2 linked regions of the Struthio camelus genome follow. The protein of the gene in region 1 interacts with the protein of each later gene in a pairwise test. Links are inferred from orthologs where the notes say so. Each region holds a gene or a part of one and is shown on either strand. Other genes may lie near its edges.

What was found.
Region 2: the proteins of AGR2 (region 1) and FABP2 interact in binary tests that used the Homo sapiens proteins (3 or more experiments, as listed by UniProt). The two-hybrid records come from large-scale screens. The link is inferred for Struthio camelus from reciprocal best matches to the Homo sapiens genes AGR2 and FABP2.

The regions. Positions count from the first base shown.
Region 1 is NC_090943.1:34,169,518-34,186,260, reverse strand, and holds AGR2 (anterior gradient protein 2 homolog), read left to right. Parts: upstream 1-9,637; 5' UTR 9,638-9,717; intron 9,718-11,315; 5' UTR 11,316-11,323; coding exon 11,324-11,474; intron 11,475-11,590; coding exon 11,591-11,654; intron 11,655-11,752; coding exon 11,753-11,805; intron 11,806-12,774; coding exon 12,775-12,848; intron 12,849-13,126; coding exon 13,127-13,190; intron 13,191-14,493; coding exon 14,494-14,577; intron 14,578-15,402; coding exon 15,403-15,452; 3' UTR 15,453-15,734; downstream 15,735-16,743. UniProt on the Homo sapiens protein: Required for MUC2 post-transcriptional synthesis and secretion. May play a role in the production of mucus by intestinal cells. Proto-oncogene that may play a role in cell migration, cell differentiation and cell growth. Promotes cell adhesion.
Region 2 is NC_090945.1:20,526,496-20,543,695, forward strand, and holds FABP2 (fatty acid-binding protein, intestinal), read left to right. Parts: upstream 1-10,630; 5' UTR 10,631-10,668; coding exon 10,669-10,735; intron 10,736-11,450; coding exon 11,451-11,623; intron 11,624-12,202; coding exon 12,203-12,310; intron 12,311-13,197; coding exon 13,198-13,248; 3' UTR 13,249-14,327; downstream 14,328-17,200. UniProt on the Homo sapiens protein: FABPs are thought to play a role in the intracellular transport of long-chain fatty acids and their acyl-CoA esters. FABP2 is probably involved in triglyceride-rich lipoprotein synthesis.

The sequences.
Region 1 (16,743 bases):
TTTCTTCAGTATAAGTAATCTGTAAATAAAAAGTACCAGTTTCACTTTCCCCAAATTCCTGAGAGTTTAACGCTTCTTCACCTAAATGACCATCTTTAGTCTTTAATCTTCCAAAGTACACATCATTTATCTAGAAAAGATCTGTTAAATTAAAGCATTTTTCCTCATTTCCAGAATTAGAAGGTACTAAAACACCTCTGAGTACTCCAGACCCTAGCTCTGCTAACCAAATGCACATGCAGCAAATGATCCTATTGACTGTACTGGAGTACAATAGGTACAGCACAACATGCATGATTTTACAACATGGGCTCTAGCAGTCCACGCTCGTACAGAAATTCAAACAATATTGCAGCTCCCAGAGATTCTTACAAATACAGTCTCCACTGAAATAGTTAAAAGGTAGAGCTACTTTCATAAGGAATTTTATATTCCTATGTTCCTGTATTTCACAGAAGAATTGGGTTGGTTTTATTCCAAAAAACCAGCTGACTGAAAAAAACTATTATTATAGTGCGTTCAAGCTTAAGTTTCATTAACATAGCAGCATCAGTCATCAAAAGGATGGTCTCCTAGTTCAAGACGTAACTTGCTACTGCTCACATCAATTCTTAGACTTTAGTGATGGCTCTGCTTTAATTAATCAGTTATAAGAGTGTTACTTAGTTATTTTTTGGGCTGAGCCAGGGTAGTAAGGGCAGAAAGTGAGACCGTTCTTCATCACACCTGCATAAGACAAAAGATCAAACATACTACATGCTGACTTACCTCACACATCAACCAGGAAGTTTGCAGGGAAATACAGGTGTTATAACCTTATTGGTCTACAGAAAGAAGAAATGAGAGTGTAATGAACACCTTTAATAAAACAATATGGAAGGTATCATTAATTCAACCCACTGCCAAAGGAGGACAGGAGAAAAGAGGAAAATTTTACAGCAGGTCATGTCAGAAGTCATGATTCCCAGTGGCAAACCGTGGCTTCTCACGTACGAAGGCACAAGAATATTCACAACACTCAAGCGCCCACATCAAGCTTGTCTAAAGCTGCAAATCATTTGGAGCTTTTAGATGACAACTCTGCCTCTTCCCTCCAGGTTCTTAAATAGAAAATATGGAGAGCAAGGACCGACTGTGCAGCCTCCAGACTGTTTGCCGGTTCTCAGGTAAAAGCTACTGCCATCACATAAACTTGATGATAGGAATTTTCATGATTTTCAGTTTACAGATGAGATAACTAATGCACATAGACACTGTAGTGGGAGAAGAAACAACAAAAGGTCCATTACTGGCTGCCACGCCAGTACTCTGTTGGCTGAAGCATGTGGCATTCATTGCTCGTCAGTAATGCACGATTAATAGCCTAGATTTTTTGTTTCGCTCCAGGAACCTGACATCAAGTACCTTACTCAGTTATTCATTATCTTCTGTTTGTTTGGGTTTTTCATTTTCAGCAAGATATTTTACATTTAAAACTTACAGTTAGTGAAGCGAGCAGCACCCTGTATTGAGTTAGCAACTCAGTTCTCAGTGCTGTTAAGCCAACGCAGCAAAGTACTAAACACTGCCCCACCAGAGCTCCACGCATGCTAAGCAAAGACTAAACATGCATGGACATTTTCCTCCTTCCTACTGTGCTGCTGATATCCCCCACACCCTCACCCACTCTAGAAAGCAGGCAGGTGCTACTGATTGGCCTCATGGTTACTTCTCCCAAGTAACACCTGCTGAACATAGCTGGCGGCATCAGCTGCCTGCTCACCTCTGCACTCTAAGCAGCTGCACTACATGAAACAGGAATACAGGAGCCAAAACCTCAGCCTGCCAGAGTTCATAAAGAGTCCATGCATTCAGCTCCAAAAACTTAACTAATCCAAGTATGCTAACTACATATCTTTCACCAGAAAACAAGAAATAACATCTTATTTCATCTTCTTCTGTTAGATGCGTTAAAAGATAAGCGGCTCCCAACAGATCATTCACATAACAATTCTAGTATGGGTAATTTTAGGTATATATGACTCTTCATGAGATTTTAAGTGCTCTTCTTTCACATTGCTCTCAAATCTCCATCTTTCTGACCCAATTTTATGGGCATGCAGCAGTGATCCGACTATCTGTGAATTTCCTGTGCCCCAAAATATCTCTGAATGGTAGAGGTGGATACAGTGCAGCAGCTGGATGCAAAAGACCGCGTTGCCTAAGCTCTCTACTATTTCAGCCATTCTCAGCTGCTGGAATGACCCCATAGGAGGGAGAAAAAACAAGTGTTGGCTGTTCTCCGGACCTGAGGGCTTTGGTCCCAACTTCTGTGTAGCTAGGCTAAGCACAGTTCAAACATATCTCAGCCCTTGGATCACCATAAGGTAAGTAATTCACAAGATTTAGAATTGTGTTTCTTATGCCAGCTACAAAAAATGCAGTTTTAAAGGAGCAGAAAGAAAGTTTTCACTGCATCTGAATGTAAAGATGGAACGTCGTTATTGTAGTGACACAAACTGGAATTTGGCCAGCATGAGAGCAGTAACACCCATTCTCCTATCAGTTCTCTGTGACTGATATTGCTTATTTAGTGTCACCACCTGACAGAGCGTGCTTGCTGTTTCCAGGCCATAATTTTTAACAAGACTTTAGTACACGTGTCCTTATGTCATTCTAATTGACTAATCAGCCAGCTAACTATTCTGGTAGGGATATTACAACTGTATTTGTACAGTGGGGTGACCCACACACTGGTGAAACCTGAGCATCTCATGGGCAGAAGATAATAAGCATTCTATTCCAGCTATAATATCCCAATCTGTAAACATGGTATGGCATTTTTCTATTAATTTAGCTTTTATATGGCCGTAGGTCAGCTGCAGCTAAGGGTGCAATATGTCTAGGTCCAATTTAAGTTCACCTTTATACTACTTAATCTTTCCTTCTTATGTGCTACATACACAGAATCACACAATAGTTGAGGTTGGGAGGGACCTCTGGAGATAGTCTAATCAAACAAGGTCAGTGACAGCAGGTTACTCGAGACTGTGTCCAGTCAGGCTTTGACTGCCTCCAAGGATGGAGACTCCACAACCTCTCTGAAAAACCTGCTCCTGTGTTCGACCACCCTGACCACAGGAAAAGCTTTTCTTATGTTTAAATAGAATTTCCTGTATTTCATTTTGTGCCTGTTGCTTCTCATTCTTTCATTGGCCACCCCTGAGAACAGTCTGACTCTGTTTTCTTTGCTCCCCCATCAGGAGTAAAGTATCAATGAGAAGATTGCCCTGAGCCTTCTCTTTCCTAGGCTGAACAATCCTAGCTCTCTCGGCCTCTTCTGCTATGACAGATGCTCCAGCCCTCAGTCTTCTTCACAGCCCTTCACTAGATTCATGCATCTCTTATATGGTGGAACCCAGCACTGGCCATAGCACTCCAGATGTGCCTCACCAGTGCTGAGGAGATGGAAAGGATCACCTCCATCAACCTACTGGCAACACTCTGCCTAATGCAGCCCAGGAGTCTGCTGATCTTTGCCACAAGGTTATATTACTAGCTCATACTCAACTTGTCCACCAGGACCCCCACATCCTCCTCTGCAAAGCTGCTTTCCAGCCACTCAGACCCCAGCCTGTACTGATGTCTGGGGTTATTCAAGCCCAGGTGCAGGACTTTGCATTTTCCTTTGTTGAACTTCATGAGGTTCTGCTCTGCCAAGTTCTCCAGCCTGTTGAGGACCCTCTGAATGGCAGCACAACCATCTGGTGTATCAGCCACTCCTCACAGTTTTGTATTTGTTAGGGCCTGAAGCAAATCCCCCTTCTAGGAGTTTAGGTGGCTAAATTGAACAGTTTCATTGGCTGGTAAGAGCTGTTGTGAAGGAAGTGAGGCCTGCCACCCCTTGCTGTTAGGAGCTGCTTTTAAGCAGAGGCTTTACTGCTGACTCCTGCCTGTGCTACACTGCAGCTGTGCAGCAGCTCTGTCTGCACCTGGTCTTCTACCTCTGAAAGTCTCACTATGATCCATACCCACAGGTTCAGCTTCCTGGCTTGAACTCAGACCTGCCTCATCACTACAGACTTGCTGGGCAAGCAGTGGATTGTGTCCGACCCTGACTTGCCGCTCTGCATCCCAATTTCTTGCTGGTGAAGTCACTGCCCCCATGCTCTGCTCCCTGCTCACCTTGCCTTGCAGAGCAGCCAGCCATCCCTGCTCCCTGATGGCACCATCAGCAAACTTTTTGAGGGTACACTCTTTCCATTCATTAATAAAGACATTAAATCACCCTCTGAGGTATGCCACTAGGGACTAGCCTCCAGCTGGACTACATGCTTCTCCTCCCTGTCCACCTCCCTCATCCATACTTCATTGGTTTGTCTGTGGGGATGTTATGGGAGATATACTCTCATCCAAGGTCACTATATTGTGATGCATTCCTCGACTGAGGAAATAGTTCCTACAGGAAGGATGATCTTTGGAAAGCCACTGTCATTGGTTCTGCTCCTATGCCAGCATTCTAGATAAACAGATACTTTAGCAAGAAACTTATCACAGGGAATAGGTACAGCGTGCTAGGAGATTGTTGCAGGAGCAACACTGAAAAGCGAGCAAAACTTTATGCTCACACAACCACAGAATGCAAAAAGAGAGAGATCCTCTCCCAGAATCCTGAGACTTATGACTATGTCAAGATTTGAAGCTCTACAGTGATTTTTAAGGGTAACCTTGGTTAAGATCATTTTAGGCCTATGTTCCTAACATTGCTGTTGTATAGGCAAATTAGGCATTACGTTTAGAGACCGTATATCAGTGCAGCGTGCACTTTAGGTTATCTGGAAGTAAAAAACTACAGAAATTGTGACGTTTGAGGCAATCTGGAATAGAATCACTTATCTCAGTGAGAAGCTAAGCCAGTGGTCTCTAATATGTTACTAAGATATTGTTTAACAAGGGAAAGTATACTATTAGTACAGTATACTACGCTATATAGAATGTATACTATATATATACATATATATGTAAACAGTATACTATACCAGTATTTGCAGACAAGAATTGTAGTGAGAAGCCTTCAGAAGCACATTCAACAATCTGCATTGGGAAGTGTACCTCATAGCATGAACCAGCTGGAACAGGTTACTGTGCTATTCCAAAGCTCATGTTAAACAGCGTAAAACAGAAGTCAGACACAGAGCAAAGGTACTCTTTGGAACCCCATCCCTGTGAATGATCACTGAATAACGACACGATTTAAAACTTTGTCAAGTCAACTCTCGGAAACATCTGAAAACAGAGGTTCTCCTGCCTCCCTGGGCATTCTGTGCCAGTACTGTGCTACCACTCTCATGAAGATGATTTTCCTGATGTCCACCACAAACCTCCCAAGCCACAGCTTATGGCCCTCACACTTTGTTTCATCATCTGCTGCTACTATCAAGAAGAGTCTGAATCTATCATCTTTGTAGCTCCCCTTCAAGTAGTTGCAGGCTGCTAATAGATTACCCCTTAGCCCTCTCTTTGTCAAACTGAACAAGCTCAGACCCTTCAGCTTCTTACATTTTAGTAGAGGAGGCCATTTATGAAATTATTACAGAAACTTAAAGTGTGTTTCAGTCTGAAGAAAAAAATAGTGAGAAATCTCTCAAAAAGGGGGAAAAGAAAGAAGGTGAAAACATACAGGAGCCTCCAACTGATCTGGGGTCAACTTTACAATTTTTGTGGCCAAGACCCTAAAGACAGAAGCTGGCCGGAAGGTGCCAACATTACCAGAGACCATGGTGCTTGGAGAAAAGACCAACAGCACAGGTAACAAAGAGGAAATCTACAGAACAAATGAGCTTCATTGCAGAGGTAATGGCGATTATGATACTGGCCTGAAACCAAAAGCAACATTTACAGTGTGAAATTAGTGCACAAGCAAGAGTGATGCTCTTGCCTTAACATTGGGGCCAAAAAAGGAGGCGCATTAGTGGGTTCTGTTGGAATTTGAGTCATAGTGCTCCTAGAGTACTTTAAATATATTTACTTGCCATTGTGAAAAAACCAGGACGGAACCGTTTATTTGTGTAAATAGCCCAGGTAAGATATTATGAATAAAAAGAATACTCGCCTGTATTACTCAGGGACTAATTCTGGGAGTCAGAGTTGACATCATCTATTTTTTTTTTCCATAGTTGGTCAGTGGCCTCTTGTCAGGCATCTTTAGAGAAGCAGAGCACATAATGGTGCACAGTTCTATCAGTTGCAGGAGATATTGTTTCTTTCCCGAGATTATGTTGTGGACAAAGTTTGGCACCTAGCATGTTTCAGAGAAAAATATAGGGCACTGATATTCACTAGAAGTCAAGATCTTCTGATCTTTGAGGTAGCACATTAGGAAAATTGAGAGGTCCTTGGCAAAGGTTAACCAAACAAATCCAAAATAACAAAAATGAAGACAATAAGGCACAAATAAAGATCACAGTAAGCTGAGGCAGGTCCAGGAGACTCACTAGAATTACCAACACTGTAGCTTAGCTACTTGTCCGTAACAGAAAGCCATCATCTCAGAACCAGGGGATGCAAGTTTTACAATTAAGTTAGATTCATCCGCCTTCATATTACAGTACAGTAAAAATAGGAAACCATTGGCTTACAGACTTTAAGCAATATTAAAAACTGCATATCAATATGCTCAGATAGGCGAGGAGTCATTTACTCTAATTCCTGGGTACAGAAAATTTTCTGCTTTTAAATAAAGCTACTTATTTTATTAACTAAAATGCATTTACATAAAATTAAGTGCAAGAATTTCATCCATGAAGCCTTCCCAATCACAACTTGCTCAGTTAAGGCAACTAGGTAAGTCTTCTTCAAAGGCTGCGATCTATCCACAGTTTCTAAACAGAAAGTGGGCCTCTTCATTCATTTGGTGTCTCTCTGTGGGACCGAGTGAAACATCTGAAAATTAACTCTAATAGTTGTCAGGATCAGGCTTTCTCTTACTGAACACAAGCTTAGTCCCACGTATGCTGAAAACCTTGACACTCCTTGATGCAGTAAATCATGATAGCTTCCATCGTGAAAAAGTGCATTAAACTATACAAGCACAGGTACATTTACTATGGGTGTTCAAATGACTTGCTGATGTGGAAATACATCATTCAGCAATTCCTTCCAGCACATCCCAGTACTTCACAACACAAAATGGAGCATAACATAAGAAGTGGTTACATGACAAACTCCAGCCTTTATCTGAGACTATTTAAAGGACGTTTCATGCTTGCATTTCAGCCTGTCAATTTTTATCAACTGATGGTGATTTGAATTATATGCATGCATATGCAATTGGAAACAACGCTTTCAGAGATATCAGAATTCTGATGAATTGGTATATTTTCTTTAGAACCAGTCATCAAAAGGTCAGATACTTATAAATATCTTAAATCTTAACATCTCTTCTGCTATCCAATTTGAAATATATTACCAATAAACTGTAGGTACTTCAAGTTAATAGAGGCATTCATTCAACAGAAAAGGAGAAAGTGTTAGGCTGACACGTTTTGGGAAATTGTCATCCTTCAAGATAAGTCATCAGATGTATCGCAGGTATTTACCTGTACACGTTGAACACTGCAGGAAAATGGCTACAATATTGGTCACCATCAGAATGAAGGTACCATCAGAACAGAGAAATGAAAATCAGAAGAAAAAAAAGCAAATGTCTAGTTTTGTAAAGATGTTAAATATTAACTGTAATGGGGTATATCAAATCTTTACAGCAAGAGAGGAAAAACCTTCTGGGATAGTTCCACTTTGTTCCAAGCTATCCTGGGGCAGTTCCTGCAGGACCTAGTTACTGAGGCAGAGAAAGTCTCTGATAAACAGCCTAAAGCGAAGTCGGAGGCTGGGGCTGGCTTCAGGACCCTAGCTGGGAACTTTAGGAAAGGCTGAGCTCCCCTCTCCATTCACAAAGGGCAGGGCTGGTTTACAGACACTTGCAACTAGTTCCTTTGAGATCACTGGGTCAGAGGTGACAAGAAAGTCCCTGTCAGTAGCTACGTTTTTATTTTTAAGTTTCTGATGGAAAATAATTCTTAAAGAGCATCACAAAGCTATATGGAAATAGGCTAAGGTAAACGTATCTCCTTAAAACAGGAGAAAGTAAGAGTACAAATTTAATGGGAATATATCTAAGGCAGGTGCCAAAGAGTGAATGGGGGCTGAGTTTTTAGAATGCATTTTTAGACAAGTTTGCTTAAAAAAAAAAAAAAAAGAAGTGTGTGAATGGGAGCCTACCCATTCATTATCTCCTCATATAACTTGAAAGCAACTAGAATTGCTGTTACAGGCTTTAAAATTACCAAATATATGCTATTAGGTGCAACCTGAGAAGACAATCAGCAAGAATACATTGAATTACAATTTAGAATTGCCTAAAACAAAGATTTCAGAAGCGGGTACCTAATTGTTTGACTCCTAAATCAACACTGAGGTGGATTAATGAGACAACCTGATTGTCCAAAGCAAGAGCTGTTCCACATATGCACTTAGGGAACTTATTTTGGTATAACTTTTGGAAAAAAAAAAAAAATCCTGTTTTAGAGTAGAAGTGATTTGGATACACAATATAGTAGCTGACGAAATACATATCTGAATCTTCCTAATTAGTGTTTACAAAAGGTTAAAAAAAGAGTGATCCAAAGCACCATTTTCTCTGAAATATATACAGAAAAATGTACGTCGTTAGCAGCTATCAGAAAACACAAGGAATTTCAAACAGAAAAATCCATATCTGATTGATTTCATCTACCCAGTTGAGCAATGTTAAGTGCTCACTGCTTACGAAGATGTTATTTTAGTCTCACTAAAATATATGAGGCATGCACCAAGGAGAACCTACTTTAGCTTCAACATATATCACCTAGGACAGGATTGCCGCCATCTCTTAAAAAGTACCATCTGCAGGAGGTGCAAATGCTAGGGATGGCCTTCTAGTAAGGCAAAATGGTCTACAGTTTTCCCGAGTGTTGCACTGTACTACATGTATCTGAAACCTGAAGTGATAGGTTTTCATGTTGTCATTAAAGTAAGCATCTACAGAATTAATTAAACATGAAATCTGAATACAATATTTATTTAGACCTCAGCTTATGAATGCAGTATATTTTTATGGCTTCTAAGTATTTTTTTAGCGAAGATCTTTATAAACTTGCTGTTAGATTTCATTTGAAATTTTGCTATGTAGTATTATATGTGCATGTGTACATATATATCTGTATAATTCACACAGTTAATTAGATAATTAACAGCTAAAGTCTGAGTCATCATCTAACTTTTTCAGAGGACTAAAAGAATAGTGACCAGGTTCTATTCCCAACCAATCAAAAAAAGACAAATCACTCTTCAGGCAAATCAGGAGTTTGGATTTAAGCTTACCTGGACTTGGATCTTTGCCAGTATTTTAAAAATCACCTGTTAAAAATGTTCTAAAAGACTACAGAAGCATCTCTGAGCTTTATATATATGGTGTTTGACAGGAAATGTTAATGTTATTTGATTACAAAATTAACCGAGAGTATTTTAGTGGGGAGGAAATTGGAAGATTTAGCTCTTTGGTAGTAATATTCAAATCCAGAGCTTGTAGGTGGAGCTGAGGTGTGTGAAGGTGCATAAATAGGCAGTAGGAGCAGTAGCGGTCACACTGTAACTCCGGACACCTTCTCACCTGGGCAGGCAGCCGGGAGAGCAAACAAGGTAAGGCAATAAACATTTCTTTGGAAAGAACCTGTTAAAACCTGTGAATTCTGGGCTCAGGTTACCTAGAGCTGAGGTAGGCTAATCAATGGAAAAAAAAAAGACTGCAGCAACTTGGGGACAGTTCAGTACAGTTTGCTATAAAGAAAATGTATAGGGAAATGTTGTCTTTTCAGGTTAGAAATAATCAGGAAGGGAGGGTTTTTTGGGGAGTGGAGAATGTAGAAAAAGTGCACATAGCTTTGCAGAGGTGAAGTTTTAAAGAGCAGGTTTAATGATTCTCTGTCTTTGGTTTCCTGGTTAGCAAATTTTTTTTTTTTTTTTAGTATTACTTCCTCAATACAGATCTAGCTAAAACAGCTCTCTAGACAGCACTGAAAATACACCAGGTTTAATTTAACTTTATGCAGTTTTCTTCCTTGCAAAGGATACTTTTCTCAGGGCAAAAAAGCAGTCTGTTGTAAAATCTTATTTCGTGTTTCTGAAACAATGACTCCCTGGATGTTGAAGGTCTACTGAACATCCCAATAGCAAAAAGCACTGTAACACTGATTCAAATTCAGCTTAAGCCTCCTCCAGCAGTTCCTACCAAAACCTAGAGGAATGCATTTATTTCCCTGGACTTTCATTCATTACCTGAATTTTAAAAGTTTCCGGCCTGCTGTAGTTTTTGCACAAATGTTCTGAATTTTCTATATCACTTTTGGAGTATCTTAGGTCTTTCTATCAAACTGGTATCTGTTAAACTAGTACTCTAGTTTTCAAGAATAAATTTAATGAGAAAAAATAGGGTCATATCACTGTCATGTGCCTCCTCCCTCCCCTGGTTTGAAGAAGCATCCCAGTTGGACCACTGAGGAGCTTCCCATCAGACACGCCTCACCTCCATCCCCAAATCCCAGTGTCAGGCTCAGGAAGAGCCATCTGCTCTCTGCCTTGCTTCAGCTCGCAGATTGCATTTCAATTTTCACTGTTCCACTGATTACTTCTTGTCTTTAAGGACTAGATAAGAGTTTTAAGGGGGAAGGCATGCTCTGAAGTTTCAACCACAAGATTAAGCTGCATCCATGCCAATGACTCATTATAAAACCTAGCTTATGATTTACTTCTCACAGGAGTTGCTGTAGCTGCAACATAGAGGAATAGCCTAGAAAAGTTAATTTTTCAGCATCTGCTGAAAAATTTCAGCTGCTGGAGTGCTTGGTTACTATAATATTGAGAGATCTAGATACAACTCTGCATGTAGTCCTTTTGGATTCTTGTAGAAATTGCCAGAATTTTGTTGTTTTACTGAGCAAATTCAATATTTGTAAAAAGGAGAGACACAGAGAGAAACTAGCACCAAAGTGAGTGTCTAAGAGGACTACAGCCCAATGGGATGCATGGAGCTGTAGAAAGTGACTGATTTCTTTGTGATGATTTGCTAAGCAAACCTCACCCTTCCTCTCTGTTCCCACCAGCACAATTAATTTCAGCAGTGACTCACCCTGCCACATATTTGTGATTTGAGCTCTCACTTGAGCACTGCTCACCTGCCCTGCACCTCTGCACAAGCAGCAGTTTGGGAAGCAAAGCAATTTCAAGTTTCTCTTTCCTAGGAGAAGCCATGGAGAAGAGCTATATGTCGGTGTTCCTGCTGCTTGTTGCCCTGTCTTGTGCTCTGGCTAAGGATGCACCCAAGAAGGAGACCAAGGAGACAAAGGAGGCAAAGGAAACTAAGGAGACTAAGCCAAAACTGCCTCAGACACTCTCTAGAGGTAATAAAAAAGTATTTAAAAAAGTGCAACCTGCTACAGTTTTAATTCCTATAGTTGTTCTAATAATTCAGTTTCTGCTTCATTAACCGTTCTGACCTGCCCTTTCCCCATCGCAGGCTGGGGAGACCAGCTTATCTGGACACAAACCTATGAGGAAGCCCTCTTCCGCTCCAAGACCAGGTATCACAGCCCTGCAACCTGGGCCCCCCATGACCTATGGACCCCTCAGCACCTGTCTCCACATCCAGTAACCCCTAACAAGACTATTCCTTTTTCAGCAATAAACCCCTGATGATTATCCACCACTTGGATGACTGCCCACACAGTCAAGGTAATCATTCTGCACAGAAAAGCAGCTGCTTTTTGACTTCAGAATATGCAGTGTTTAAAAAAAAAAACCACAAACACACTTGCTCAGTAAGCCTTAGTGAAATACTAACTTACAGAAGCAGGAAGAATATTTTTTAAATCAGTATCACATTCCTTTTTTATTTTATTTCTGCACACACAAAAATACCTGTATCTCAGTATTAATGCAATACTTGCATCTCTTGATAAATGCAGGAAAGAGCACAGATCAGCAGATTTTGACCTGTGACAAGTATGTCTTTAGTTTGCCTTAGAATCAGTTGAAACCCATCACAAGATGAGGAGTAACAACAGCAGAAATTTTCAGGAAAGGGAGAGAAAAGGAAGTATTCAACTCTGTCATTGATGGTCATGACTGAATTTGACCAGAGACTAAATCAAACAAGGCTGAAACTGAGTTCTTGGGGGATTTCTAGTAGCTCGGACTACTCTTTTCTCTGTTTTTCTGAACTTACCCGGGGGCCCCTCATCCTGCCAGCTGATCCATGCAGCAAGACCTTTCCATTAATCAATAGCCCCAGTAACTCCAGAGGGAACTTGGTTAACATTAAGATTTCTCGAGACATTTCTGGCTGAGGTCCTACACCTCCACACTATTATTGTCAGCACCTTCAGAATTGGAGCCTGAAGCTATAATATTAGACTAGATTTAAAGAGTCATATGCTCAAATTCAAATTTGAGCAGAAAAATTTTAGAGATCTACACCAGCTGAAGGAAGGGGAAATTCTATACCATTATACTTACTCTTTATCACAGAATAATGAAGCTGAATGAAGTTAAAATCTTTATCTGCTGTAATGGTATGGCTGCTACCAGGCAGCCATATTTGAATCTATCAGTTGTTCTAAGGGATTTTTTTAGGCCAAAATTTAAAGTATATTTTGGGGTTTTTTGGTTTTTAACTGTTATTCCACATTGCTTTCACTATAGCACTGAAGAAGGTCTTTGCTGAAAATAAAGATATACAGAAATTGGCTGATAAGTTTATTCTCCTGAACCTTGTGGTAAGTTTCCCAGATACCCTTCATTAACTGAAAATAATAAACTTCTATTTTTAATTATGGCTTCCATAGCTTAGTCAGTTTAATACCTAGGAAAAATGGCCAGTGCTGAAGCATGATAGATTTAGTAATAAATCTCTTATCTCTAGCTATCATAACCCTAAAATACAAAGAAATTCGAAGTTTAATATAATATTAAATTTTAACTAAAATTTAACTAAATATTTCTATAACATACACTGTTGCAATCTTGAATGAGAACCTTATCTGTTTTCTTTAAGTATGAAACAACAGACAAGAATCTTTCACCCGATGGCCAGTATGTCCCTAGGATTTTGTTCATAGGTGAGTACCTTAAACGTTAATGCTGATCTTGGATTGAAGCCCTTGCTGCATCGTGAGTCTCAAGTCCTCAGGCATATCAGCAGGAATTTATTCCAAGAGAAATATAGAATCTCTGGCTGTGTCTTGCTGCACATATGAGAAAAATAAAAAAAAAAAAGGAATAATAAAAATAATAATAATAAAAAAAGAATTAGCTGAGCAAGAGTCTCCTCTTGGAGAAGGTTTGCACAGCCCTAAAGAGAAATAGAGCAGTGATGGAAAAGGAACAGTGCACTGCCAGAGGTGAGGAGGCTGATCACAGCTCCACCTCCGTGTGGGCAGGATACAGCCCATTCACCTTGAACCCATCCCCTCTCGGCAGGCTACTGCCTTGAACGCAGTGCCCTGCTTCACCTGTACGCCACTGCCCAACCTGCCTTCAGTGCACCTCTAGAGAGGAGAGAGCACTGTGCTCTAGCCCTTGAAGCTTTCATTGTTTAACTTGAATTAAAATTCAAACTAACCCCAGCCATGACATTAGGTTCACGGGTCTAGAATTCAACGCCCTATAATTTCATTAAATTTTTTTCTTCAGAAATGATAGTCTTGTTCATTATGCTATCTCTAGAATTATCATGAAGCAGACAGGTTTCATTTTGGCACATAATCTCATGGGCAAAATGGAAACAGCAGTGACCCAGCATGTTTCAAAGGCTAGATTTTCAAAGCCAGATACATAGTTCTGTGCTTACTTGCACTAACGTCTCATAAGCTTTTTCATTTTGGACATCTTAGTGGCCATGCCTGCATCCATATATTCCTTCTCCCAGAGGGGATACGTAGCCTTATATGCTACACACGCATACCATTAGCACGTACCTTCATAAATCTAGGTCATGATGCACATTTCTGTTCCTCAGCCTCTCAGAAGACTTGGATGAAGATCATTATTTTCTGTTGATTCAAGCAACTGCTTTTTTTTTTTCTTTTTTTTTTAAATTTGTAGCTTGGGAGCTGTCTCAGCTTATAGAGTTAATTAACGTACCGTGCAGTGACACGGGGTCTAAGGCTGATCAACAATAATATGAATTAAACCTATCCCCTCCTTGATAAGTCTGCACACAGAAGACTTAAAATTGAAACTTCAGTTACTTTGTGGAACAAAGTGCTGTTGGCCATTAATGGAAGCAGAACACTACCCTAAAGAGATTAGCAGATTTGTCTTGCAGGAGCATTCAGGATGCAAGCAGAAGTGTAGAAAGCTTTATTTCCTTATGCTTGAAGGTTAATCCTGTCCTCTACAACTTTTCTCATCTTTTTCCAGATCCTTCCCTGACTGTGAGAGCAGATATTACTGGAAGATACTCAAACCGTCTCTACGCATATGAGCCCTCTGATATTTCTTTGTGTAAGTATTTCTTTGTGTAAGTACTATATCCTGAAAGCAGTCAGATTTTTTCACACAATAAGGAATATCACTAGACATTACACACACCTGCAATCAATAGTTACTGAAAGACAGTCATCCAATGCAAGGTATGGACAGGTTGGGGAAGAATGTAACTTCATGACTCACACTTTCTAGCGATAGTAATACTCAACATTGTTTCATTCGGTGTCAGTATTCACATTTGAATTAGATTAATTTAGTCCAAGTGGAGGTCACCGGGTCTGCCTGACTTAAACTTTCTGAAGTCTAATACTAAAATCTTAGGAAGTTAAGAGGAATGCTAGACTTAGGGTCACTGTGCTGAAGAGAATGATGGTACAACCCTGGAGCCTTGAACATCCTTCTACTTTGAAAGAAAACATAGGTAGTAGGAACTGGCACAATTCAGTACTGCTCATTGTAACCAAGAGTTAGACCACCAGCGCCCTTGCATACAATCTCTGCAGCCCAAGTCAGCAAACCTTTTCTGGAGGCAGTAAAGGGTCACACGTGATAGCCCACCCTCAGCACACAAGTATCGTGTGTGCTGCACAGCTCACATCTCTGACCTGTGAATAACTGTGCACTTGCACTAAGGGAACACATTCTCCCCAGGTGCAATTAAGCAGACTGATGTTCATAAAACGCTCAGCAGAGGCTGCAGAATAGTGCATCAGAATAAATACACCAATAGGGATTTGGGCAAAGACTTTTATAATAAAAATGATACTTCTCTAACATAATTGTAGTCAGAGACAGAGGAAGTTGCAGCAAAAATAACCTGTATGAATATTGCACTTCTAGTGTACTCAAACATGCAGAAAGCTCTGAAGCTCCTGAAGACTGAACTGTAAGGGGAAGGAGGAAGCCCCTGAATACCAAGAAGTCTGATCTTCCATCTCTTCTCCACTCATTGACGCTGGTGGAGAGACTACTCACGGTGGTTTTTAGTGATCTATAGCGCTGGTTATATATATATATATATAAACACTATTGTTTTACATTAGCACTTTTGTACTGGACAGCATTTTTAAAAGCTAGAGGCTTTTAATTTTGAAGGCATACAGAATACTGTATGATCCAACTGTAAAAAGTGATTTTTTAAAAATAAATCCATTTCAAACATTTTCAAAGATGATGCTGTGTTTTCTATTTCTTTCCTACCTCATTATTATCTGCTGCCATTAGTAAAATCACTGTACTACAGGAGACCACAGCTTGCAACTTTATACATAAGCACTATGGAAGAAAAAGGAAATACGCTTTTTCTATTGCCACTTTCAGCAGCTAGCTAAGCTCTGTATTCCTCAGCCTACTTTCTCTCCCTTTAATTTCTTGGAGCACCCAGAAAGAATAACATCAACAGGAAGCAACCTGTCTCTAGTTCTCGTTATCAGTATTTTCTGTAAAGACAGATAATGAAGTGTGCAACCATTTTATAGAAATTTTCTATATCTTGCAGTTAATTGCATAGTAATGTGCACAATACTTCAGTCTTTAAGAAAACATGTCCTCAAATGCAGCAAAGTAATTGAGACTAGAGGATGCGATTATGGGTTTTTTTGTTTTTTTTTTTTAAACTGGCTGCAGTCTAAGGTGATCTCACAGCATCAGCATATCTACTTGAAGAATAAATAAGAGTGCCCCTTAAAAGATTCCTGCTCACATCAAAATTCATAGCCTTGTGATAGTTATTAATAGGAGAGATATTGTATTTAAGATCCGGTTGGTTTCATGACTGCTTTATGGCTTATGGTTTCTTATTTACTAGCCCTAAAGGGGCTAGAAGTTGCAATTTAAAAAAACAATGACAACAAAAACTAAAGCTGAACACCTTGGGAGCGCGTATCATCTATGTTAAGATTTAGGTAAAAAGGAGGCTTCCCATCTTCAGCGTCAAATATCTAAGCAAGCAGCAGTAGCAGCGTGAAACAATTTGTGCAAGACTATTCCTCCATTACCTTCTCAGCTCTTTAGCAATTCCAGCCATCATTAACCACCACTACAGTCATGATTACAATTATGAGAGAGAAATACATTTGGGAGGGCAGGGCAGACAAGAGAAGGTGGAAATGGCCCAGACACGCGATTCAAAATTCCTTCAGCAGTTTAAGCAAGAGAGGATGGGCTTTCTTTTAGAGCATC
Region 2 (17,200 bases), on another chromosome or scaffold:
TGTTCCCCTTTTGAAAATAACTTGTATAATACATCTTAACCTGTAAAAAATTGTTGATTGACCCTAGCTCTTCTAATTAAAAATATCAGTGAGGCTCTTTAAGGTGTAGCTAGCGCTTCTATTCCAACAAGTTAGTCACTCATCTAATACTAGCTGTAGAATGCATAGGTCTTCTGTTATCTCACACAGTAAAAGAAAGGAGGGAAAAATAAAGCATTAGACTTTAATAATGTCTTATTTGTAATCTAAAATGTGGAGATACTACTGCTCTTTGATTAGTAGCAGTTTAAAGTTAAGAGTGGATCACTCTCAGATCTGCACAGAATGCAAGTATAAGTAGGCTAGTGATAAAAGTGAATAAAGTATTCCACTGATGACTAGCTGCTCTCTCTTTAGAAGAGAGGACTGCAGCCTCATTTTATCTGTTGCCTTCTGCCAACTGGGTACACATAAAGGTAAGTTTTTGAACTCCATTCCAATCCATTTTATCTGGCACTGGCAAGAACTGCCAGTTTCAGAGCAGTGTGTAGTTCATATTAAGATTTTTCAGAATTACCAGGTAATTAATTATTTCAGCCCTTTATACGGAAATGCGCAGCTCCTTAAAATTAGGGGGTGTTGCTTGAGTGATCTGGTTTGGGCCTCCTGAGTTTTGCCTGAGAATCGTAGTGGAGAGTGCTGATGGAAAAAATGCCCAACTCAAAATAAATTCATACACTTTTAAGGGTTTTGTAGAGACTGAATCTTCAAGGCAAAGTTTTACATTAGCTTTAGTTAGGAATCTTGTCTCTGTGACACTGCAGCTTCTTCTTCATGTCAAATCACATGGAGTTTACACTCCACAGGGATTCAGCTTAATTTTACAATTGCCTACTCTGTAATACAACATCAGAGAGCTTCTTCAGGGACATGCACTAGTTTGAAAGGTAAACTTGAATTTTGGAGCTTGAATAAAAATCTGAGTTTGGCCAGGGTATGAGAAATAACGAGGGCTGGAGTTTCAGTTTGGATTTTATAGGAACAAGAAACATCAGAGTCTAGCCTGGTAAGTAGTGACACTTGATTAATATAGCAAATTGTGACATCAAGATAATTTGTCTTTGTCATTGCTAGATGAATGAAAATTGCATGGGAAAGTTCATCTTCCACATAAAGAAGTACGTTTCCATAGAGAAACTCATATCTAAGTACCACTGTTTGTAAATGTATACTAATGTGACAATGCTATTTAATAGCTAGTTTCCACTAACCGCTATAGCATGAGCTTGTTATGCCAGGGCCAAGGTATGCTTAAATGCCCATTTGAAGTTAATTAAATGATTCCCATTTACCTCAGTGGGAGTTGGATTGAGCAGTACAGAAAGTGAAGGAATGGGTCAAATCTGCTTTTTTTTGCCTATACATATAAAGAGGGACCAAAATCTTACCCTTGGTAACATGTGCTTCACCTGTTCTTTACTGTATTCAGCTATTCCTGCTGATGTCCAAGGTACTTTACAGATGTAACTGAAGTTAGAATTTGAGCCCTCTCTGTATTCACATGGCAGACACGCGTGTGTCTCTTAAAGAATGTAGTGTGAAACGCACTGTAAATAGTTTTAATATACACTTCTATTATAGTTTAATAAAAACCTTAATCACAGTCACTAGCCACTGAGTTTGTCCATTTGTATTCTTGTATCTTTTAAAAATATTTGAACAAATATATAGTTTCTGGGCACAGTATTTTTGTACTAGGTTGATGGGGTTACTTTGTATATTATGTTCTGCTTTTTAGCAGTATTAAAGTCTTCTGAATTTTATGATCTTGCTTGTTTCTGTCCCACAATTCTTTAGTAAAACTATTTACATTACTTACATGAGAATCATTTGTCCTCCTTACTGTACAGTTAACAGAGAACAGAGTTACGTTATTTTCTGTGGTCAAACTGTTGCTTAGTTACTTATTTTCTCATTCTCCTCTTTGTACTCTTTTCATGATTTGTAAAATAAAAAAGGACAATGTCAATTAAATTCAACTGTTTTTGTTAATTAATATTATTAAGGTTGACTCAATAATCAATTATTATCTGATAATCACATTATCAAATTCAACACTGCATTTTTCCTTGATTCAAATAAAGTATACATTTATAGAAGCAATTATTTACTGTATATATATACAACTTCTCTAGGTCCTAGAAATCCTGCTGAAAAGAACTTCACTATTAACATCAAGATACTCCTAACATGAGCACAGTCAGTGGTATGGGATCTTTTGTCGAAAACCGGTAAAAAAATAAAATAATTTACTCCTATTAACCACTAGGGAGCACTACAGCTACATTTATCTGGAACTGTCAGAAACCAAGCTATTTATTGCACAAGTAGAATTGGCAAATACAACTGTTATAAAGATGCTGCGTGAATAAAACTGGTCAACATCCATCCTCATCCTTTGCCCCCAAGTATCAATTTCTGGGGCAGTAGCATATGAGTTAGATTTAAAAAGTCAGCCCAGTGACTTCAAAAAAAAGTGAAAAACTTATTTTTGACAACAAAGCCACATCTTGCATAAACTGCTGATCTTAGAAGTGAATCCAGACCAGTGAGTTCTTGGCACTTCCTGTTCTTTGCTTGTTAGGTTCTCTGCAGCAACACTTCTGGCCTGATTTTTTTAGCTCTAGGCAAAACCAACAAGTATGTACATCCCTGACAAACAACAGTCCTATTCAAAAAGTTATGAAGGGCCAGATTTAGTCCAGCACAAAACACGAGCACTGTTTGCCCAAACCAGCTGCAATTTGTGAGTGCAACTGAACAACTGTCTATGTATATCTACATTTATCAGGTAACCATGTGCTGTTGGGACTACAAACTTTCCCACCTCACTTACCGGCCTAGGCATGCTCCTGCTTGCTTTTCACTGGACTACTAAATATTTGAATTCTTTTCTAGCACAGATTTACCAGAAGCGTTGGAATATGTTCCTTACCTGCTCCAGAAAATAATATAAGCTTGAAGTAAGGTGTTTTTCTTGAAAAAGTGAAAAAGAATATTACAGTATCTTTCACATCATGCAAACTACCATGAGTCTTTCACAAATGGAAAAGACAATGGCCCCTTCCTCCAGACATATTTTTAATAACAGTGGTAACAGCTCTTGCTAACATGCATTTCACATTCCTGTGAAATCTCACCCTTTAAGATTTTTAGGAAATAATTCAGATGTATGAGTTTGCTACAGTACCTCTAGAGCTTTAAGATCCTCAATGATCTATGCAGTCAGTCAGCCACTGAATTTTTCAGCTTTGAGAGGTAAGTAGCACTTCTCAGCTCTTACAGAACCACAACTTCAGAACTTCAATTTCAGTTGAAAGATATCACAGTTTATAAATATAGTAAATTTTCACTTCCATATTTTCCATTCAGAATATTTTAAAATACCTAGCTGCATGTTTTTCCCCTAATATTCCAAAGCTCTATTTTAAGATGGATTTTTTTCACATTTCTTGAGAGATCAAGCTGTTTTCCAAACAGCTGTATTATTTTCTGTTCTGAATTAGTACTATCAAGATAAAATCCTCTTTCCCACTGAAATAATTAATTCAGCCATAGTCTGCTCCTGCCCACCCAACAGTTCATAATATGTCTGTATTTTATCTTTACATGGGTTTCTTTTGTTCAACATCAAAGTCTGAAATACAGTGCTGTAGAAAAATATATTTTTAGTACACCAGAATGTGTACTATAGTGCATACATATAGTACACTAGAATACCTCCACGAACAAACAACGTTTAGTTGTCCAACACAAGATCTTTAAGAAAAAAACAGGGAGTAAAATACACGGTTAACTCATACCACTAGGTTATACAATACATTCACATACAGGGATTTCTTTGAACTCTTCTTTGTAGTAGTAAAGACACTGCTATGAATGATTTTATATCACAACAGCTTTTCATGGAACAGTAGTATAATCGTCATTTTACAGATAAATAGAGAGATTAATTTGATCAAGGTCACACAGAAAGCCTGTTTCTGAGCTGGAAGCAGAACCGAGATCTGGGTCCTAGTTCTGCTTTTACATAAGACGTGAAGAAAAGAATGTTTTGTGTTGAAGCCTTCTCTTCCTCTTAGATATATATATATAATTATCTGAACCATGTAAGGCTCTCTCCTCTATTTCCTGAACTCAGCAAAAATCACTATTTTACACATGGGATCAGATTAGACTCTAATCCAGATAATCACAATAACCTTTGGTGGAGTTTGGAGCTATATTGTAACAAAGAATATAGTGTATAATCAGGAAATAGCTATGCTGAAACAAACTGAAAGTCCAGTTCAAATTTTGGAGAACAAGAAAAGACAGATGCAGACTTCCAATACTGTACGTCAGCAGCTTCTTGGACTATAACGCAAATCCATCTTTGCTCACACCTCATTTCTAAACAAAAAGAAACTGCTTATATAAAATTTGCCTGCTACTAAGTACTATCTGCCTAGAAAACACAGGGAAAGAGCGGTGAGACTTGTATTTAAATACCTTGGTGACTAGATAAGCCTGATACGAAGCCCTATAGGACATATCAAACTATATGTGACAAGAGGCACTAATTCTCAGAGATTCATACAACCTTTGCTGGAAAAGCACACTGTATTTATGTTGGCAATGGGCCAATTTCACCCTCTCTTCATTGCAACTAGGCCAGGTTCAACTATTACAGGTAATTATAGGACTCATTTTAGGATGAACCAATGGATGAAGCAAATAACAGAGCTGGTATAGCTTTAAGAAACCCCTGCATTTTGCTTCTAGATTTTTTAACCTGGAGTTTATCGGCTCATGCTCTTCAGTTCTCTCCAATAATCAATGCTCATAGCAGCATTTTATGGATCACTACCTATACACACAAAATAAAAAGTGCATATACAGTCACATGAGCGTAAGCTTTAAGCTCCAGAGCAGACTACTAATCAATCAGACAAATGGATTCTAAACTCAGAGAAAATTTCCAAGCAATCTTCAAATATTGAACCTTCCTGTTGAACAGACTGCATTATCAACAGCAGCCAAGAGATTCTTCCTGAACCAGGGGAAAAAAAAAAAAAAAAAAGAACTTAGTAAACATGCAGCTGGGGTGGAACAAAAGCTACCTTGAGCATGATCTAATCCTGCTGCAATACAACATCCAATTGCTATAGGTACTTTGAAATTACCTATGCAAGAGATGGCATTAGTTAGACTAAACCGAGCTCCTTGTTTGTAGGCCACCTATACTGGAGTTGGCTTACTGATGCAAGACTATGCAGACACACCCTAAAGCAATGCATTATCTGCAGTGTTCTACTGAGTTACATGGACTTGATTTCAGATCTCATTTCCATTGTGTTTAGTACACTTCACAGTACACCTGCGAAATGTGCAAGTTGGCGTACATCTTAGGTACTTTAATTTTAAGTCATGAAATAAAACAGTGAGCCAACAGAAAGTAACAGGGGTATAAGAGGAATGGACTACTTTGGTAAAGCCTTAGGCCGAGAAAGAACTAACTGCCATATTGACATAAATCTGAGCATTGTCGTTTAAATGTATGGCAAAATTTGATGATAAGGGAACCAGATGCACTTAAATGTGCCCAAATGTCTTTGCAATCCATCCTAAGACACCTAGAAGAATCATCCAGTAGAACACATGCATAAGTGCTGCCAATTCAGTTCACAGCTCCCTGACAGAAACTAGTTAATCTGCACAGTTTTAACACGATTCACATATCTTGTAATATATGCAATTTATACAATAATATCTATATGATGTATATAATAATATCTATATGATGTATATAATAATATCTATATGATGTATATAATAATATCTATAATATGTTTATGCTGGCTCTGAGCCAATTATCATTCCATGAGTTCTACTGTCCTACCTAATTTTAGGCTAAACAACTTGAAGACAAGCTACAAACAATAAATGGGATAGAAGAATGTAACCCACTGCAAAAGCATTTTTGTCATCCTGATCTTTGAAATCTCATTGTCAATTACTTTTTGCAGTAGAGTCTCAAGTGATATGTTCTTGATTATCAGAGATTGGCATGACTATACAAGTTAATAATTTATATTCCTCCACCTCATACAGAGATCAAACTTCAAAGTTAAGATGTTTTGCAGCCTATTCCTAGTATTCTGAAACTGACAAGCTGAAGAATAAGCCACAAAGAAAGCCATTAAGCCAAAAATCACCACCTTCATGATTTTCATGCAACCAGCAATACTAGAAAACAGGTTTTCCAGTGCGTCATCTAAGCAAAAATGGTAGCTGTGAAAACTGTGTATGGAAAGGCTACAAAGAAAAAAGAGAAAGCTTGTGGAATATTCAAACATTAAAAATCTATAAAAACAATTTTAATCATAACTTTAGAAGCAGGGCTAACTGGAAAAACAGCTTTTATATGGAACTCAAAGAACTTCGAATACAGTGCATATAGTAAGATTTTTACATAGAAGAAAACTGAAGTCAGATTTTAGTAGGCTAATACTCCTATACAATTCATATAAACTGCGACAGAGGAAAAAATACAGCTGCTTGTTCTGTTGCTGACGTTACACCAGATCTCAGAGAAAGAACAGCTCTCTATCCTGCTAGTGCTACACTAATGCAGAGAACGTAATGTAATTGTAGAGATTATAAATGATTATGTAATTCATAATCATAATTATGAATGTAATTCATAAATACTGACTATCTGTGGAGATTCTGAACCACAGGAAGCTCCATCTGAACCTGAGAAAAAACTTCTTCACTGTGAGGGTGACAGAGCATTGGAACAGGTTGCCCAGAGAGGTGGTGGAGTCTCCTTCGCTGGAGATATTCAAAAGCCGTCTGGATGTGATCCTGGGCAATATGCTCTAGGTGACCCTGCTTGAACAGGGAGGTTGGACTAGATGATCTCCAGAGGTCCCTTCCAACCTAAACGATTCTGTGATTCTGTGATTCTTGCTTAACTGACAGACCTGTGGGGCTGATCTGAACAGGATCCCGAGGATTCATACTCAGTGAAAAGAAGTATGAGGAAAGGAAAACAGAAACGGAGCAACAAGCTGAAATGCAAAATTCAGCACCCAACCACTTGCTGCTCCCATGGTAAAGGAGTTTGAGTTGGCTAGTTAGCTACACTTCTGAGAGAGATCCAAGGACCACAAGGAGGGAGAGGCAAGTTGTGAGAAGAAAAGTCTACCTGATACGCACGAAAGTCCCAGTTAGTTATGAACCTTTATAGAAGACCCCCGTCCCCTTTTTTAATGTTCAGAAAAATTACTGTTTAAGTTTGATGCAGAAATTCATGCCTAAGCTGTGGGACACTACTACTCTTGAGTTATTTTTTCAGAGTTAAAGATGAAATGGATTTAAATCAAGGAGAATAATCAGTAACGTTAATTTTGTTTAAATATATAAATATTATGTTAGACATTATAACATTTCTTTAATCAAATGAATCAGTAGGTTCTTGGAGAGAATGTAGAACCCATTTACAAACCAGAAAATTCTCTTGAAATTCTCAAAATAAATGGTAATTTTCTGCCTATTTGTTAGATTTCATACACCCCTGCAATAATGGGAACTAAAGGGCTACTTCCATTATTCAAATATAGTATTTTCAAAGTAGCTGTCAGTTAAAAAAAAAAAAAAAACAGGATTGGCATTCTTTGCAAATAAAAGTACTGTACATTATAATATTATATAGCTAGAAGAATATGTATATATATATGTATATAGTATTTGAACTGCTGTACAGCCTCCCTTTTCTAGTGGATTCAACAAAAATGGTTCAAAAGTTGCACTACACCACTGACAGAAGGAACACTTCTGCAAAGATTACGAAGAAAGCAGAGTTGATAATTAACTGTTAATCAACAATAAGTTGCATGAACTATAGCCAGACACCAGATATTTTTATTTATGGATATATTACATATATATAAAATACACATGGACAATGATAACTACAAAAGGTCAAGGGATGCTCCAATGCAATAGAAGAGATAATCAGACTAAAAAGAAAAAAAAACTTCATTTTGCCCATTTTCTAAACTAGCTGAACAGTAAATACATACCCATGATTAGCACAGCACTCGACATAAGCTATGATGCCTTTTGAGACACTAAGTTCAGATTCAGCACCACGCTAATACAACTGTACATCTTCCATCTTACAGTTGGCTGATTTTTATCCCGTTCCGATTACAGGGCAAGTATGCTAGCAGGGACATATTTCCATAAATCAAATGTCTTGCCTATATCATAAACCGCTCCAGCTCAGAATGAGACGAAGTACTTCAGTTTTGTCCCACATACAAGACGACGATTACAGAATTCTAATATTTTAATTATAAAGACAATTTTTTTTTTTCTACCACAAATTATGCCTACTTCTTTGCAAAGATTATTTTGGAACATTTATGTAAGTCTAAGTGATTAAAAAAAAAATGCATGAAAATGTGGGAAGAAACTTCATGTAAAACTATGTAACAAGACCTACATGTTGGTGTTATACAGGTATGTAGGAACTTCCCTCACCACCTCCACTAAAGGAAGAGTAAACAGCCTGGAAGCCTTCCATCTGACAGGCTTTTTTATGCTGAAAGACCAGAACGTAAGAGGCAGAAGAAAAAGGAAAGAATATCTATCTAGTACAGGAAGAGTTTCAGACTGACTCTCCCTAGCCCTAGAGCGAAAAGGCATTTCTCAGACTGAAAGACTGCAACTTTGAGGGAGAGGAACTACAGTAACTTGGACTTTGGAAGATGGATGGATAAACTGCAGCCTAAAGAGAACATATGTCCACAACCCCAGTCCTTGTTGCTCGTGGGTAAAGCTTCCCACAGTGAAAAGGAACTCGGCTGTGCATCCCTGTTCTCTCCCAGCTGCATAGTTCACTAGGTTAGTGCTCCAGCACGTTCAACACTGCCCTTGACTGGGGGCTACTACTTTGCCCTCATAGGAACTGTTCATGTGGCCAGTGAGAGTCTTCATATTCTCCCCTTTTCCCTACACAGTTTAGGCAAAATCCCAGGTTAGAAAAGCAGATGGCTCACTTCAATTGAAATGGATTAAGGAACACTCATAAAAGCAGCTCCATCGGCAGATCCGAGAGAACCTCTGGCAGAGAGGCAAACTACTGCAGGGAGAAACTACTTGAACTGGTATAGCTCTGGTTGCAAAATGAGGTGTTCACAACTGCCACAGACTAGTTTGCACCAAATCCTATGTTTCAGGAGACCAAAGGGTCTGGGAAAAATTATTTCTGAGACACGGCCAGCTTATAGCACTCTGTTTTAGCTGCGAGCATGGAGCTTTTCCTCTTACCGCTTGTAAAAATAGGAATCAATACTCTAGCTTTCTTCTTTAAAAAACAAACAAACAGCAACAACAACAGGTGAGAGATACCTGTCAAGCTATTTTTCTTCTCCAGTCTGTTAGCTGGATTAGCACTGATCACAAGATGAAGCTGACTGAGTGAGAAGTCACACTATTCTGGTATCACTAGCAAAGTTCTAAATTCATAGTTACACTTCCAGTAAAAGCTCATCTTCTACGCTGGAATCCTAGATGTAATATATCATGAAAACAAGAGACACTGATAAAATTCAGTGGTGCAACCTACGATGTGCTACCAAGCAAAATCCAGCTTGGCATTTAGAGTCTACATTATTTTAAATCTAACAGAGAGCAAAGTTGGTGCCATGCACTCGAACAGTGTAAGTATGACCCCAAATTTGGTACAGACAGAAGCTGGCACAATAGATTAGCTCAGTTGCAAGTAGCATCATTTTGGGGGGAAGAAAGTGTATTCACAAAAGCTAAGTCAGGGTAGGCTCTTCCTCTGCATTATTCTTGAAGGAGATAAATCACGAACTTATGGAACTCAGCCACGTCAGATAAATTCACTTAGCTGCACATCTTTTTTTTGCTGCAGGAACGAGTATATGCACACCACATTCACCAAGCATGTTATGATATAGACAATTTGAAGAAATTACTTAGAATTTAAACTATATATTAAAGAGCGGGGATGAATACAGAAGATCATCACAATTTTCACAGCTCAGCACTAGACAAGAAGCACGTGAACAGTTCTCTGAAACAACCTGCACGCGCTCAGCAAATCCTCTGTCCTATGCTTATTACTTAAGAGTAGAATCAGTTTCTACAACAAATTGTAACAGACAAAGTAGAGATTTGTGTTCGGTTTGTTGAGTAAATATATTTTCTCCAGTAGTATAAAGACTCTCCCAGAGTATAAAGTTCTATACAATAAAGATACAGAAAATATCAATAAATTTTCTAAGTCAAATTATTGCCTTCACTGGGCAGCTGATTTTTTACTACAATTCATATATGGCAAGATGAATGTATTAGCCATGCTTTAAAAGAAAAAAGAATAAGAAAGATATTGTCATGATTTGCTGGCAAAAAAAGGAGAGATTCAGCGGGCAGGGTGGTTACAATCGGATATCTGATTAAACTACAGTAAACTTTACCTTGAAAAGATCAGCACACACTTGAGCTTTAGCCAGCCACATCATCCTGTAAATTGCTTTCAAGATAAGCTAGTTCATAAATTCTCCTAGCAAAGCTCCGGTACTGCAGGGAAGTCCTCCTTCAGACAAAAATATGGCATTTAATGGTACTTGGGAAATAGACAGAAATGAAAACTATGAAAAGTTCATGGAGGCAATGGGTAAGCCTTACTTTTCCAATCCTTTCTAAAAGGATAATACCACTATTACTGAACGTAAACTCTATCTGGCTATGAACTACCTTTTGGCTAGCCTGTCGATTTGCTGTCTGATGCTCTGCTTTTGTGTAGCGGCCCGTATTTATTTTCAAAATATTCAATTTTTTTCTCTCTAGGGAAAAAAATAAGCTATTGGGAAAAGTTCGGATTCCCCCTACCTTATGTTTATCTAAAGTAACTAACTCCAGCATTGGTGTTTCACATTTACATTTGGTATGGCAAGGCAGAGGGAGGAATCTCTCAGTCTAATTTGTCTTGGAAGGGTTCCAAGAAGTTGAATGATGATAACATTTAAGCAGAATTCTGCAGCAGGAATATTATTTTTGATGATACGCTATACGCTGGTTTAAAAATTACAAAGAAAGGAAATCACTAATCTTAACTTTCACAGAAAACAGGATTCAAGACATTTTAACACCTTAACGCTTACTTCAAACTTGTACCAAGCGAGTGTAATAGGGACACAAACATAACAGTTGTATAGTGTTTTGTGTCCAATCTGTACTGCTGAAAATAGCCTCAAGAAAAGGTGAAGAAAAAGAAAAATCTGGGCCTACGTACTGAGATAAGCTCACTTGCCCATACAGAAGCCACAGGAAAAGACATAAATATGATGCTCTGAAGTATTTTTCTAATTGATGTTAATTGATTTTTCTAGGTATCAATATAGTGAAAAGGAAGTTAGGAGCCCATGATAATCTGAAGATCGTTATTCAGCAAGACGGAAACAAATTTACTGTCAAAGAATCAAGTAACTTCCGTTCCATAGAAATTGAATTCACTCTTGGAGTCAGTTTTGAGTACAGTTTGGCTGATGGGACTGTATTAACTGTAAGAGACTTTGCCATATGATCATAACTTTATGAAGAACAGATTTAAGATGAATGATTTGTCTTTCTAGTTTTTAAATAAATTTAACTCCTAGGGTCTTTTAAGGTTTGACTACCCAGATATGTTTGCAGCATATATAGAAAAACATAAGTTAGTTTCAATTGTTAATGGAACGACATTTAAATATGAAGCTCAGGGCTAGATGCAGTGCTCAAAAAGCAGATTATCCAGCAGCTTTCACGTGCTGAAAGCCATGCCATTGCAATTATATTGCTTGTAAGACACAACCTAGAGCGAAGAGTGGGTATTTATAAGAAACTGCTTTTTTGGTATTGACATAATTCATTAAAATAACGTGTACTGAGCACTAAAAATAAAAAATCACTAGTTTGATTGACATGCAATTAAATAAATTAGACGTAGTTTCATTAAATATTCCATTTTTACAGCATTTCTGACAATGACAAAAAAAGGATCACATTGTTTCAATCTCTTCCTACTTGTAAACATTGATGCAGTCTTTGTGCAAAATCAGTGTCATCTTTATTTATTTATTTATTTATTTATTTGCCACCACAGGGCTCTTGGAACATAGAAGGAAATAAACTTGCAGGAACATTTACTAGAAAAGATAATGGCAAATCACTCCTGGCATTCAGAGAAATCATAGGTGATGAACTTGTTCAGGTGAGTTAAGCAATCACTTATGTGTAACTTAAAACCATAACGAACTGAAACATTTTCAAAGCTGTTCCAAAAAAGTAAATACTTTATTCATCCTAAATAACCTACCTTTAGTTAAAATTCTCACAGTAATCTATCAAAATTTAAAATTTTAAAATAAAATTGGCAACCCGTGATTTTTATGTTTTCCTACCAGCGTGAAATGGTGAAATGTATCTTACCAATGCATTCTGAACTCTGTGAACAGAGGCTGTCATACCATACACACGCACATTCTGACTGAAGGCCCTTTTCCAAGTGCCTGCCCTTTTAAAGTCTTACTATGGCAGCATCTATATACTACATTTAACAGTTGATATAGGACCTTTCAAGACAAACTTAGGTTTAGGTGTGGGTTTGGGGGAAGGGGAAGAAGGGAGTGCTTCACAGCTCTGTGGTAAAGCTAGAAACTAAACTCTAATGTTTTAAAATCCTCTCCGCTATTTCATCACAAGCTTAAAAAAATTCCACGAACAGATGTGAGATTTGAGATACCAAATCCACACAGTCTAACCCTTCAGCCTTTCTCCACAATTTTAATATAGGCAGCCACGTAGATGAGGCTTGTTAAATAACGGTGCTGGGAATATGGGGTTTGAACTTTTTTTTTTTCCCAAGCCCCTAAAAGTTTTCCAGTGACAACACAAATGTTTGTATAGAGAATTTATAACTATTGACAATAGGCTCCTTTTCTTAAGTTCCTTTCCTCAGAGCCCTTACAAGCAGTCTATAGAGCCCCAAAGTGCCACCTGTCCCAATTAACCAACCACTATTAACCATCTCTCAACAGAATCTGTGAAATAAATTTTTGTAATAGCAGTTACTGATTTTTCCCCTTAATTTTTTAACAGACCTATATATATGAAGGAGTTGAAGCCAAGAGAATCTTCAAAAGGGGCTAAATACTTCATCCAGAACAGGACCAGAAACAAAATCCGATGAAAAAATATTTTTTCTACTTATCCTCTGCTTCTTTTTCCTTTCACTCCCTCACAGCACAAAATTGTGATTACTTACCCCAAAGAAAGCATAGGCCAGTTCCTCACATTTAGTCTTTTGCCTTGATTACACAACATCAATTACACTTTGATCCAAGTACTGAAATGTTATTTTTACCAAGCCGTTCCTGTTTGAGTACCACATTCTCCCTGTATTGAATATTGTGTAATAAGGATTGTAAAATCTAAAAGAACCCTGAAAACACCCAAGTCTCCCAGACAACTATATATACAGACTATGAGTAAAAATATTGCAGGTACATTAAAAAGATAAAGAATGACTTCAGACTAAGTTGACTTCAAATACTGGTGCTTCTCACGAGTGAATAAATATGTATAATGTTCTGCTCATATTGTCCAGTCTGTACATGATGATTTTAATTCAGCCTCTCCCCCTTCAGCCGCACCATTTCCTAAGGGCTGAGGTAATAATAATTAATCTTTTGAGGGTCAGCATTACTTTAGGCCCACTGTGCCCCTGTAATCATGTGGTAATATAGTGCTGTCCCTATGTCTAGGGGGTAGCCTGCTTCCCAGCCCTGCACCCCTTCTGGAACACGTGTGGAACACACCTGCATGCTGCAAGAACTCTTGTTCTTCAGTAAATATTCCCCAATACTGTTTTCTTAGCTTCTGAGGATTTTGCATCCATGTTCCTACTGTCACAGTTAGGAATAAAAAAAAAAAAAAAAACACAAACCTGATTCATGTAAGAGCTTTGCTGAAAGGTGAAAAATATTGTGCGGCCCTGAGGACAGCCTTGAGGTTTAACCCAAAATATCAATGCAGCCTGATCTGTAAAGTCTCACAGCACTTCATCGCAGAATTCCCTGATGACAGCATGTGGCTAGATAATCTTCTGCCATGTGCTTATTTGTATGCTGTTACAGATCCCAATTTCAAATATCTTTTCTGAACAGGTATGTTTAAATTATGACTTTAATGGATTTTTTAAATATCTCACAAAATTTTTTCTATTATTTTCTTGGCTGTCTTTGACTGTCTTTTTCCTGGGCATAAACGACAAAAAAAGAAAAACAAAACATTTTTTTCCTTCAGTTATTGATGTTTCTCTAGCCTACACTTTTTTGGTTTTTAGAGTCTCATAGCTCCCTCTATTGGTAAAAGGCTCTCATGAATCAAAAAACGTTCAGGTTAGGATTGGCACATATCACCCTTCATTATAAGTTGTTTTTTTCCCCTCCAAATATTGGTTGAATGCAATTTCCTGTGTAGATACAATCTTCTTCAGTGGACAGATATACCACATCACAAAGAAGAAAAGATTACCTTACACAGTACCTCACTTCAATGAAGAGGCGTAAAATGGGGAAACAAATTATGAAAAGAAACCAAAAAATACTATATCTGAAACTATAGTACTACCAAATTCTGTGCATCTCTAGGTTGCTTTATTTAGATACTAAAGCCTTTGAAAGAGGAATAAGAAGAATAATAGCTTGCAATAAGCTCCATGGCAGCTTCTTTCACTAAGGCTATGCGCACAGAACAAGTAAACTAAACTGTAAGAGGCCCTAACCATTAAATTTCCATTACAGAGTTTGACCTTCATTATCAGCTGTATGTCATTATTGCTTCTAAATCGTAGAGAAATATATTAATGATTATGTCTCAAAGGTTTCAGGAAATTAGAGGAAGCTATTTTATTTCCTTAGACACTTTACTGGCTGGAAGGAAAGCTGTATTACGTTTCTGAATGTGTTCTCTATTTCTTCCCTGAGTATGCTGACTCTGTAACAGTCTCACACTCTCCTGGTTCAGAAAGCTAAACCCTACCGCATTCTTTGAATCATACTTATCTCTACCACATCTGCAGCATAACACATATTGTTTCATGGTTATTTTGATCTAGATTACTGGATCTATTTGACTGATTGGCTGCAATAAGAAGACATAATTAATAGGATTTTTTCTGTCAAACACTTGAGAAACTATTCTAGTAAGTTTTGGATTACATACAAGACCATGAACTGAAAAGTAATGTGATATAAAAAACCCAAAGATATGACCTGTAAAACATTTAACAACTCCAAATATTCCAGACAGGCAAGGTGAGCAGCTGTTTTGAATATACTTGAAAAATGAGAAAAAAAAACTCTAAAAACCTAATCTCTAATACTTGAGCTAGAATCAGCAATAAGTGTTGAGGGGAAAGGGTACAACTTTGGCAGTGGTAGACTTTGGCAAACCAACCAATAGGATCACTATATTAAAAAGTGAATGAGATAGTCTAGTAAATTTGACTAGGAGACTTATGTTTCCTATTGTTTTCAGAATTACATTACTTTGCAATCTAAGAGGAAATAATTTGCCTCGAGGAAACTGCAATCCGTAACTCCCTTTGCTCAAATGAGGCAGTAAAGATCACTAAAAGAAATACATTTGGGTATATGGGGGAAATATTAATAATATTCCTCAAAAACTCTGTAACGTACTTCATGTACTATGCATAGGCTTAACTGAAACTTTATATAGAAAGACAAATTAAAGTTCATACTGATTTGTAACAATCCTATTGACTGAAGGAAAATAGTTAGGCCTAAATGCATGCTTATGAGATGCTAAACTCTGACCAGATGCTTCTCACCCACTATCTACAGAAGTGCTGCTTTGTCTCCTAGTAGGATGAAACAAAGTGTTAACAGCTACAGTGAGGAACTCTTTATTTAGGACACAAAAATAATTATACTCCTTTCAATCCTGACTGAGCTGGTTGGACTAAGCATGCCACACCCATTCAGGCAAGGGTGATACATGAATTACTCTGTGGCTCTTTAGGGTGCAGAAGCTCCAGCGAACTTTCAAGCACAGGGGTATAGCTTTAAACTATTTTAAGTTCCCTATATATCTTTGCACAAACATTTCCTAGATGTTACCTCAGTTTTCTCAAGAGGATCATCTGCTCTCTAAGCAGCTGCATCAGGAAAAAGTCTTTGTAAACGTTTATTTCCTTAAAAATCCTAATACAGTTTCTTAACAAGGCCAACATGATTTAAATGGACTGACCAGCTGTCTTTCCCCATAGCCTTGTCTCACCTGGCCATGTGCCCAAGCAGTGGCAGGCAGCACTGGTGCCCAAGTACTACTACAGTAATGCCAGTCACCAGCTCAGTCAGGCTCACACAGTCCCCAAGAAGCCTCGGCTTCTTCTCAGCACTAGCAGCAGCAGCGGCCCTGCCTGTGTCTTTAGGGCATATCTTTACCACACGTTAGCCAAGCTCTGCCACAAAACTACCTGGGCCTGTCCTCGCCACCAGCTCCTCAGCGCACAGCCCGCCTACACGACACAGGGCGCGCTCCTTCGCGGCGGGAAGGCCACCCTCTGCCGCAGGTAACGAGGCCGCTCGCTCGACGCGGGCCTCCGCGGCAGGCTCGTGAGGAGAACCCAAAACCTCCGCCGCCACCGCCGCCGGTAACAACGGGGGCGGGGTCACGGCGGCGGCAGGCGGCCAGCACAACAGCGGCAACAGCAGCGCCACCCCCCGGGCGGGAAAGGAAGCAGCGCGACAGCGCGCGACCGCCAACGGTCACCAACTGCCGCCCCCGCGGCGGGGCGGGGCGGGGCGCTGCGTGGCGCGCGTGGACAGCGGGTGCGTTTGCGCAAGGGCGCGGAGGTGGAGTGGGGGGGGCAGTACGTGCGCTCCGCTCTCATTGGCTGCAGGCGCGCAGAGGCAGCTGGCGCCTGCGCGGTCGGGGGCCGGCGGTGCGTGGCGCGACCCGGGGCAGCCGGCGGGACTGCGCTGCCCGCCCGCGGCGGGGAACATGGAGGCGGCGGCGGCGCGGCGGCGGCGGCGGCAGCAGGAGCAGCAGCAGCAGGAGGGCGCGGGCGCGTCGC